Drosophila melanogaster: one gene and its partner. Each later gene encodes a partner of the first gene's protein in a complex. Each region holds a gene or a part of one and is shown in the gene's direction. Other genes may lie near its edges. The genes, in order: GatC and GatB.

Evidence for each region.
Region 2: GatC (region 1) and GatB share a complex: the UniProt entries of both Drosophila melanogaster proteins name them as parts of the heterotrimeric GatCAB amidotransferase (AdT) complex.

Annotation. Positions count from the first base shown.
Region 1 is NT_033779.5:13,830,844-13,835,026, reverse strand, and holds GatC (Glutamyl-tRNA amidotransferase, subunit C), read left to right. Parts: upstream 1-1,921; 5' UTR 1,922-1,955; coding exon 1,956-2,402; coding exon of another isoform or gene 2,403-3,089; intron 3,090-3,143; coding exon of another isoform or gene 3,144-3,538; 3' UTR 3,539-3,545; downstream 3,546-4,183. Other genes in the region: mRpS23 (mitochondrial ribosomal protein S23), read left to right, coding at 45-88, 144-305, 367-730; Polr2C (RNA polymerase II subunit C), read right to left, coding at 776-1,603; PolG2 (DNA polymerase gamma subunit 2), read left to right, coding at 2,399-3,089, 3,144-3,538; Orc5 (origin recognition complex subunit 5), read right to left, coding at 3,555-3,839, 3,893-4,183. UniProt on the Drosophila melanogaster protein: Allows the formation of correctly charged Gln-tRNA(Gln) through the transamidation of misacylated Glu-tRNA(Gln) in the mitochondria. The reaction takes place in the presence of glutamine and ATP through an activated gamma-phospho-Glu-tRNA(Gln).
Region 2 is NT_033777.3:24,127,239-24,132,170, reverse strand, and holds GatB (Glutamyl-tRNA amidotransferase, subunit B), read left to right. Parts: upstream 1-1,915; 5' UTR 1,916-1,987; coding exon 1,988-2,049; intron 2,050-2,102; coding exon 2,103-2,247; intron 2,248-2,305; coding exon 2,306-2,419; intron 2,420-2,483; coding exon 2,484-2,799; intron 2,800-2,854; coding exon 2,855-3,279; intron 3,280-3,348; coding exon 3,349-3,485; intron 3,486-3,548; coding exon 3,549-3,672; intron 3,673-3,731; coding exon 3,732-3,959; 3' UTR 3,960-4,122; downstream 4,123-4,932. Other genes in the region: Tsc1, read right to left, coding at 1-1,033, 1,095-1,351, 1,412-1,505; Root (rootletin), read right to left, coding at 4,468-4,531, 4,588-4,763, 4,824-4,932. UniProt on the Drosophila melanogaster protein: Allows the formation of correctly charged Gln-tRNA(Gln) through the transamidation of misacylated Glu-tRNA(Gln) in the mitochondria. The reaction takes place in the presence of glutamine and ATP through an activated gamma-phospho-Glu-tRNA(Gln).

The DNA of each region.
Region 1 (4,183 bases):
TAATTTGTTAAAAAACACATTTAATTAATTAAAACTTTACCAAAATGGCACAAAGTAGGCTTGAAAAGATTGGCACAATCTTCACCAGGTATTTACCCTCCTACGAAATATCTGTGCAAGCTTTAAACACCCGACTCTTGCAGAGTTCAGGGCCTCCTACGCGGTGGAGCTATGAAAACCGAGGATAAACCCATTTGGTACGATGTGTACGCCGCCTTTCCGCCGAAACTGGAGCCCCGATTCGACAGACCCGCGCCTGAGATTCCAGTGCGCCAGATATTTTATGCCGAGGATGTTGTCCGAGCGTATGTTTTTCACCTGCAGTCGGGCTTATACCAATACTGAACTAATCTTGTACACCAACAGAAAGCTGCATAAAGAAAACAAACCCCAGGAAACGATATCCCTGTTTGACCACAGGCGCAGCACGCAGTCACAGCAATTTGTCCAAATATACCAGGACCTGAAAGGACAAGGAGCCCTGGATGAGCAAAGGATCTACGAGACCGCACTGGATCTTTTGGCGGAGCAGCGCCAGCAGGCCCGCCTGGAGACTACCCCAGAGGAATGCCTGCCAGAGCAGGATTCGGAATCCAAGTCCCAGCTGCTGAGCGACTTCAAGGAGGCTGTGGTGAGCCAGCAAATCACGTCGTCACCAGCACCACCTGCTCCCAAGGGAAAAAAGGAAGCGAACGTGGGCATTAACATAGACAGCTTGTTCAAGGATTAGGCGGAACATCTTTTATAAACTTAAAATAAACTTGTTATATGTAAATCAAACGGCCAATGCATCGTTTTGGGACTCGTGGCTGAGTTGCGTCTGCAGGTTTGACAGCTTGTTCTTCAGCACCTGCACACCCATGACCACAATGTTCTCAGGCTTAAGGGCACCGGCGGATTCGACGTTGAAGAAGAACTTGTTTGGCTTGGCTTCCCAGTTGTAGGGCGCCTCGTACTGGTCGTCCTCCAGTTCGGTGTGCTCGCTCTTTGGCCACTCATCAGGTTTGGGATACAGAGTGTGTCGCATGGAGTTGTCCGGATCATACTCGAAGCACACGCCTGCGGTAGGATTCCACTTGGCGTGCTCCTTGCCAAATCCCTTCTTGGCGTAGGCGCGCAGCTTCAGCTCCTGCCCCTTGCGCAGCTTAATTATGAGGATCTCATCGTTGCTCTCGCCGTACTCGTTGTCCTCCTCACCCTGGTTGCGGGACGTCACCGGCAGGACCTTGGCATTGCTCGACTTGAGATCGGCGGTGGTCACGTGGCGCGTCTGTTCCTCGCTGCACTTTACGTCCAGGGTGAACTCCACGCTGCATTCGGGGCAGAAGTCCAGGCAGATACAGTCACGCGTGTACTGCAGCCGCTCCACGACGTCGTCGGAGATCAGCGGTATCAGACCGATCCGGTGGGCTAAAAACTCATCCGAGAGCACCGTAGAGTTGGCTTCCAGTTGCACCCAGTCGATGGCCAGCGTCGGCGTCTCCGCGATGAACACTCGCCGCAGGCTGTTGGCCACACTCAGTTCCGTGTCCTCCAGGACGAACTTTACGTTGTCGTCCGTCAGCTCGGTTATCTGCACGGACGGCTGGTTGGCGTACGGCATTGCGGTTTTGTTTTGATGAAATTAAAGGGTCACGAAAAAAATAACCCGCTCAGTGAAAAGGAAGCGATGGAAGTGCAGCAATAACAGCCGGCGATAAGTGTGCCGTTATCGATTGTTGTTCTCGTTTCGGATTTATAGCTAGATTTTTAACAATAAGGGCTGGATATATTAAATTGAACAAATGTGATGGAGACATGTTTAATTAAACTAGATCACAATAACAAGAAAATTGCTTTAAATTAAGATAGAATAAACACATAAATCAACATTTTTGCAAGGACAATACTTTTCAGATAACATTTAGCTGATTGTTCCGAAACTCAGTTCCACCTCTGATTTTGTGCTGGTGAGAATGTTGCGTCTGTTCAGCAGCCGTTTTTACTGCAAAATTGCAACAAAATCGAATGAAAAGGCCACTAAATTGGACTTCAAGCAGCTAACGCATCCCACCAAGGTGCCACAGACACCAGTGGACTCGAAGTTTCCCGACACCAGCGCCTCCGAAATCCAGATCGACACGAAAACCATCCAGTTGCTGGAGCGGCTGTCGCTGGTGGATCTGGATAGCGAACGAGCGCTGGCCACGCTAAAGAGCAGCATACAGTTCGCGGACAAGATTGCCCATATCAACACGGAGCACGTGCGTCCACTGTACACGGTCCTGGAGCATCAGCAGCTCCAGTTACGCAACGACCAGGTGACCGAAGGCGATTGCCGGGCGGAGGTGCTCCGGAACGCCAAGGTGACGGACGAGGACTACTTCGTTTCGCCGCCGGGCAACATTCCGCTGGAGCAATGAGTCGCATACAACGATGCTTTAAGTCCCTGGCTTCCGCTGGCTTCTTTCGCACCGTGGAAGACAATAAACTGGAGCTACTGAGTCATGGAAGGGAATACGCCAAACTGTTGCAACAGCATTGGACACGACTACGTCCCTTGGCTGCGCACCTGGGCGCCACGAAAGAACCCATAAATCCAGTCAACATCCAGCGTTTTTCCTTTCCACAAAGCCAGCAATTCCGTAACAATTTCCAAAAACTCGTCAAAGATCATCCTCGAAAGGCCAAATGTCCCACTCTTCTGAAACATCAAAGCACTTGTTCTGGTCCCACTAGCAATTCCCTATTTGGGATAAAGGGTCCTACGCTACATTTAACCACGGACTTCCTAGTGGAACCACATCGCGCACTGGAGCACTTCTACAACATGCAGCGTGAGAGCAAGATCTGGTGGATGCGTCTTTCCTCGAATCCCAGTCGCTACCGCATCGTACCTTGCGATTTGGCTGAGGATCTCAATCCCAACGACTATCAAGCCATCGATATCCGCACGAGCTACGGTGATGCAGGAGAAGTGACCGTGGAGCAACTGAGCCTGGTGAGAATAGTGGACGACAAAGACTTCCGGCTGCCCGATGCGCGAACGGGTGAAATTGTGCAACCGACTGTCATAAGGTCTGTGATAGAGCTGGAAACTACCACCTGCGGTAAGTGGTCATCATAACTATCTTTGAAAATCTTTCTATATTATTATCCTTTAGCTCTGCTTCTGGATGGCTGTGATCATGGCCGGGACTCGCAATCCCTGCTCTTACACCGCGTTCTGGCGCCATATCAATGTGGAATTGCCTGTGTGGAAAGTGATTCCGAGCTATCTGCTGACTTGTCTGATCTTTGTCAGCATCTGAAACATGTTCTCAACCACGCCGGTCTTAGACTTTCTGAAGGGGATGGAATTCGTACGACGAAGAACGCTTCTCATTTAGCAGAGCACTTGCTGGAAACGGATATGCTCGGCATACCTTATACACTTGTTATAAACGAGCAAACGCTAAGAAACGGACTGATGCAGTTGCGCAGCCGGGACACAAGGCTGGCGGAGACCATACACATAAGCGATGTACCGGACTATTTATTAAATATATTTAAAAACTAAAAAAAACAACCAGGGGCTACATAAAGTCGCAGAGATATTGGCGGACATTAAAGCCCACCACCTTGCCAATCTGCAGGACAAACTCCAAGCCAATGGTGCACTGCAGCCTAGCGGAACCTTCCATTATGTTTTGTTCGCCGGAGACGAAGCTTAGTAGATTGAGGTGCACCAAAGTTGAGATCTGGGAGAGAAGGTTGCAGGTCAGACCGACTTTCTCCTCTAGAATGGCGTAGAAAATGGCCAGCAAACGATCGATGCTAAAGGATTTGGGTCCCAAAGTGGTGGACATTTTCTCCGTGGTCTAAAAGGTATTAAAATAAGCAAATGGAGTCATCGAAAAATTGAATAACCCACCTTGGCTCTGGCGTTGACCGTCTGCATCCGCTTTCGCTGTTTTCCATGGTGCTTGACGAACAATCGCTTGTCCTGCTTGGCGGCATTGTGGCTGGCTAAGAAGGCAGCGATCAACAGAAATTTGGCATAGTAGGGCAGCTCCAGCGACTGCGCCAGCTTGCGAACGCTCTGATCTTCTATGGCGGTGAAATCTTCAACTTCTTCCGCGGGTTTTTCAATTCGCATATAAATCTGGGTTAAGGCGGAACGCAGTGGTCCAGCTATATGCCGCCAAAGCCGGGAGATGTCCGT
Region 2 (4,932 bases), on another chromosome or scaffold:
CAGATCGCTCCACGTTATGCCTGTCCTGGATGACCTGCGACAGGCGACGGTCATAGGCAGTTCCTCTGTTGACCTCCAGATATGAGTGGCTGCTCTCCTCCGCCTCGCGAGAGACATCCGGGAAACTGAACTGACTCTGCTGGTCCTTGCGCATGGGTGAAGAAGGCTGGCTTACGGCGAAGATAGCTCTCACAGCATGCGAATTGACCGCACGTCCCGGCTGCTTGATATCCCTCATATCCTTTAAGGGGGTGGTTTCCGGTGTGGCCTCCACAGCTGCTTCGGGCGGTGAGGAGCCAGTCATGCCAACCATAAGCTGAGAGTTCATAGCCGGTTGTAGTGGCAAAATAAACGATGTGGTGGGTGTAAGCGGTATGCCGCTACTGGTCGTGGCAATCTCGTTATGCGGACTCCAGATCGGACCCACATCATCACCCGAGGCAAACGAATCGAAGCGGGTGTAGACATTTCTCGATTGCTGAAACTCCCTCAGCTGATAGCTGTAGTCCGTATTCGAGGTATTTGAAGTCATGCGACTGTATCCTGGCGTCATGGGATACGCATAGCTGCCGTCTTCGTTGCTCGTCTCGGGCAAGAGGACGGGCAGCGATAGGTTGGCGCACTCCATAACCACGTCATGCGGCTCCATCTCCTTCCATCGCGTATTGTTTACCTCAGTCTCTGGCGTGGCCGTCACCAGCATGGGATGCACTCGCACAGTGTTCAACAGCGGCTTGATTGTATGCTGGAAGATGCCCCCGCCGTTGCCTCGCTTGATGAACTCCACTAAATAGGCAATAAAGCTGCACGGATACATGCCGTACAGGCGGTGAAATAGCATCTGTAGACCCAACTGCAGGTGGACGAGCTTCTCGTCCGGCAGTTTATTGCTATTCTGCAGCTTCCACGAGGCCAAATGCCCGAACACCTCAAACAGATCGTTAAGAAAGTTGGGCACAGAATTCGGTATGATCGGCAGCAGAGTAATTATGCACAACAGGGCGCTCATCAGCGGAACTATCTCCTTCTCGTGCTGTCAGAGAAATGGAAGTGATGCTGAACTCGGACAAAATTGTAAACACCCATAAACTCACCGTCATAAGCTTAAAAACACTTTTGATCAGCCGGTGTTTCTCGATCTTGTACAGCCAAGTAGGGTGATGGCGCACAATGAAGCAGAACACCTGGAGGCTCTGCACTCGGTGCTGCGACTGCTTTAGGCAGTCGTCCAGCTTGTCAAAGATGTACCCATCGTGAGGTGCCTGGGCTTTGACCAGTACCTCCAAAATGCGCTGAGATCCAGTTGTAAAGAAGTAGTCCAGCATGAACTTTACCACCCACTGCTCCTTGTCTGTGGGGAAATGGTATGTTGGAATAGGTGGCATATTAACTGAAACTGGCGAGGACTCACTCTGGGATAGCAACTCCACAAGCTTGCGCTTGGCCTCCTCGTTCTCCAGCGTCATGTTGGACTCCAGGTCACCAATGATCTTCTCAATCACCATGACGGCGGCTTTATTGGTTTCCTGTCGCTATGATTGATTTTTCCGCCCGCCCTCGGTCGACTGTTCCTGCTCCTGCTACTCCGCTCCTGGTCCTTCTACTCCACTCACTCGTCGTCGTGGTTGTCTTTTGCAGAGCTGCGTGTGCTTTTTCTCGTCTTGGTCGCTGTGAACTGGAGAACAAGGGTTGGCATTGAAATTCCCACTGCGTTCGATGCACTGCACTATTGTTTCGGTTGTGGAGTGCACATTTAAAATGCTTACCTCTGCTAAACTCATATTTTTTTACATGTTTGTCTTGAAAATGAAAAGGTTATTTTTTTGTGATATTCCTCTTGCGCTGTTATCGCCAGCCAATCGATGGTTTTGTCTGGCAACGCCGCTGGCGAATGTCCGGCAGCTTTGGCCGCAATCAAAACAACATCAGCTGTTTTGGCGCAACTTTTTGCCAATTCCGGTGCGAATGTTATAATCGATGTAAAATAATGCATTACTCAATAATCCGAAAACTGGTAACGGCGCCAAAGCTAGCCAACGTTCCCAAAAGGTAATTATGTGAATTAATATTATAAGGATTCATTCCAACGCTCTGAATTTCAGGAAATGGAAAAGCGTTGTGGGTTTGGAGGTGCACGCACAGATTGCCAGTGCGTCCAAACTGTTTTCCGGCAGTGGCACATCCTTTGGAGCACCACTTAACTCTTCGGTGGCGTATTTTGATGCCTCCATACCGGGAACATTGCCAGTGAGAATAGGTACTCTCACTTAAGACGCCATCATTACATTGTATCCTCTGCTTTTAGGTTCTCAACAGAAAATGTGTGGAATCCGGCATTAAGACATCACTTGCTTTGGGATGTCGGGTGAACGAAGTGTCCATGTTTGACCGCAAGCACTACTTCTATGCAGATTTGCCTGTAAGATTCAAATTTCAGTTTACACCACGCTAAGCCTTATAAGTAATAAACTTCTCCTCCCCAGAATGGCTACCAAATCACGCAGCAGCGCGCCGCTTTGGCCAATGATGGAAAAATGACTTTCCCCGTGATAACACCAGGCAAAAAAGTTTACTACAAGACCGCCAAACTACTGCAGTTGCAATTGGAACAGGATAGTGGTAAATCTCTGCACGATGATTATCTCAAAAGGAGCCTGGTTGACCTTAATCGTGCTGGACTTCCTCTAATGGAGCTGGTTTTTGCACCAGATTTAGAAACGGGCGAAGAAGCGGCATCGCTGGTCAAGGAATTAATACTGATACTAAGGCGTCTGCAGACATGCAGTTGTAAAATGGAAGGTGAGTCAAAAGGGATTTGTGTGCCTTTTTTTAAACCGAGTATTTTTTATTGTAGAGGGCGCCCTGCGTGTGGATGCCAACATATCCATTCACCAAGAAGGCGATCCCTTGGGAGTCCGCACCGAAGTAAAAAACATTGGCTCGGTTCGAAGCATTTCGCAAGCAATTACGTATGAAATTAATAGACAGCTAGAAACTGTGGCTAATGGCGGTGTAATTACAAATGAGACTCGCAACTGGGATGCGGAGAACCGGCGCACAGTGGCCATGCGTGACAAAGAGGTGCTGCAGGACTACAGATTCATGCCGGAGCCGAATCTACCACCCCTTCATGTAAACCTAAAGCCTGGATCAATGTCAACAGAGGATTTACTTTCAGTGGCTGCTCTAAGCGAGGAAATTCCAGAATTACCAGAGGACACCAGGCAACGTTTGGTGGAGCAGCACAACCTGAATGCGGAAACTGCCATCATTTTAGTGGTGCGTGCTCTGATCCTTTTTGAGTCAACAAAAAATTTGAAATTGCAACACTCCTCGATTTTATTTCAGAACGAACCTATTCTGCTGGATCATTTCTTGAGCATTACCCGTAGTTTAAGTGATTTGCCCAACAAAGTCATTTGCAATTTTCTTATAAACGATTTGTTGACCTATTGCAACAAATTGAACTTAGATGTGGAGGATTGGTAATAATAGGGAGTAACATACCTAATGAATTTTACTAATTTATTGTGTTCATCCTAATGTAGCTCCATTAAGGCTGATGATTTGAAAGATATATTAATGAGCTTGCATGCCGAGCTGATAAATCTCCAGGCAGCACGTCAGCTGGTTGATCTGCTTCATAATAACCCCAAAGCGAAAGTCAGTGAGGTAAGCTTCGCCTAATATTCCAAATTTATGAGATTACACACATTATCTTCCCATCACAGCTAATCGAACTGCACAGCCTGCAGCAAATCTGCAGTCCGGACGAGATCGAGAACCTGTGCCAGCTGGCTATCGCCAACCAGGCCAAGGCAGTCGAACAGTACCAGAAAGGCAAGGCAAAAGCTTTGTTCGCGATCGCAGGCGAAGTTGCCAAACTGTCGTCCCAAAAGGCCAACATGAAGCTGGTAGTGCAGCGTCTGGAAAAGCTGCTAAAACCCACCAATAAGTAAGAGATCTGGTCGATAGTTGTGTTCATTAGGAGTGTGTTTCGCTTGTATATATTTTATAAAAATGCAGTCGACAAACCGCACTGTATATAGGATTAAATATGCTAAGTATTAAATATAGTTGCTTTGTTTCGTGCTGACTAGTTCGGTGTTCTGGCCAATGTGTAAATGCAAATGATGTTAATTGTCGTGTGATATATAGTTCGGTGTTCTCCCACGTTCAGGGAGAATCGGAACTCGTGACCCATTAATGCATAGATATTTATGTGGAGATGTAAGGATGGCATCATCGCTGCGACTGGATGGAACGCACTATATTCGATTGTCTAACAGGGCAGACAATGAACAGCTAGAATTGTACTAAGGCAAACGAGTTGAAATGCACGTGATGATTAACTCAGATGCGTCTGGAGGACTCCAGGAAGCCTTTTTCTAAATAAATGCAAATGGCAGTGAGCGTTACGTCTTCTTGGCGGGATCAAATTTAACCAAATCTTAACTTCACATCACTCTAATCGCGATCATAGTCCCGGCAGCTCGACGGTGGCAGGCTCATTGAAACGGCCGAGTCGAGACTGAAATGTATAATGTAATTTAGTTTTGGAAGAACAAATAAGGGCATGCAACTCACCGCCGGCTCTCGCTTTCCAAGAGATGGGGATCCACCGGGTGCTGGGAGACATTGCGCAGGGAATCTCCTAGGGTGCTCCTCAGATGCTGCATTTCTCTATTGGCCTTCGAGCTGCGTAGAATGTACTGCTGTCGCCGTTTGGCCTCCTGGGCCAACTGCTCGCGCAGCATTGAGATCTGTAAAGTGAGGGAGTTGAAATAGATCTTATACCTTCAAATTTGCATAGGATAACCAACCTGGTTCTCCAGGCGCAGCACTTGTTGCCGATGCGACTGCTCCCTGGCGTCAAGAAGCTTCTCTGCGTGCATCTGAGCACTGCGATAACGATCTCCATCTAAGCCATCA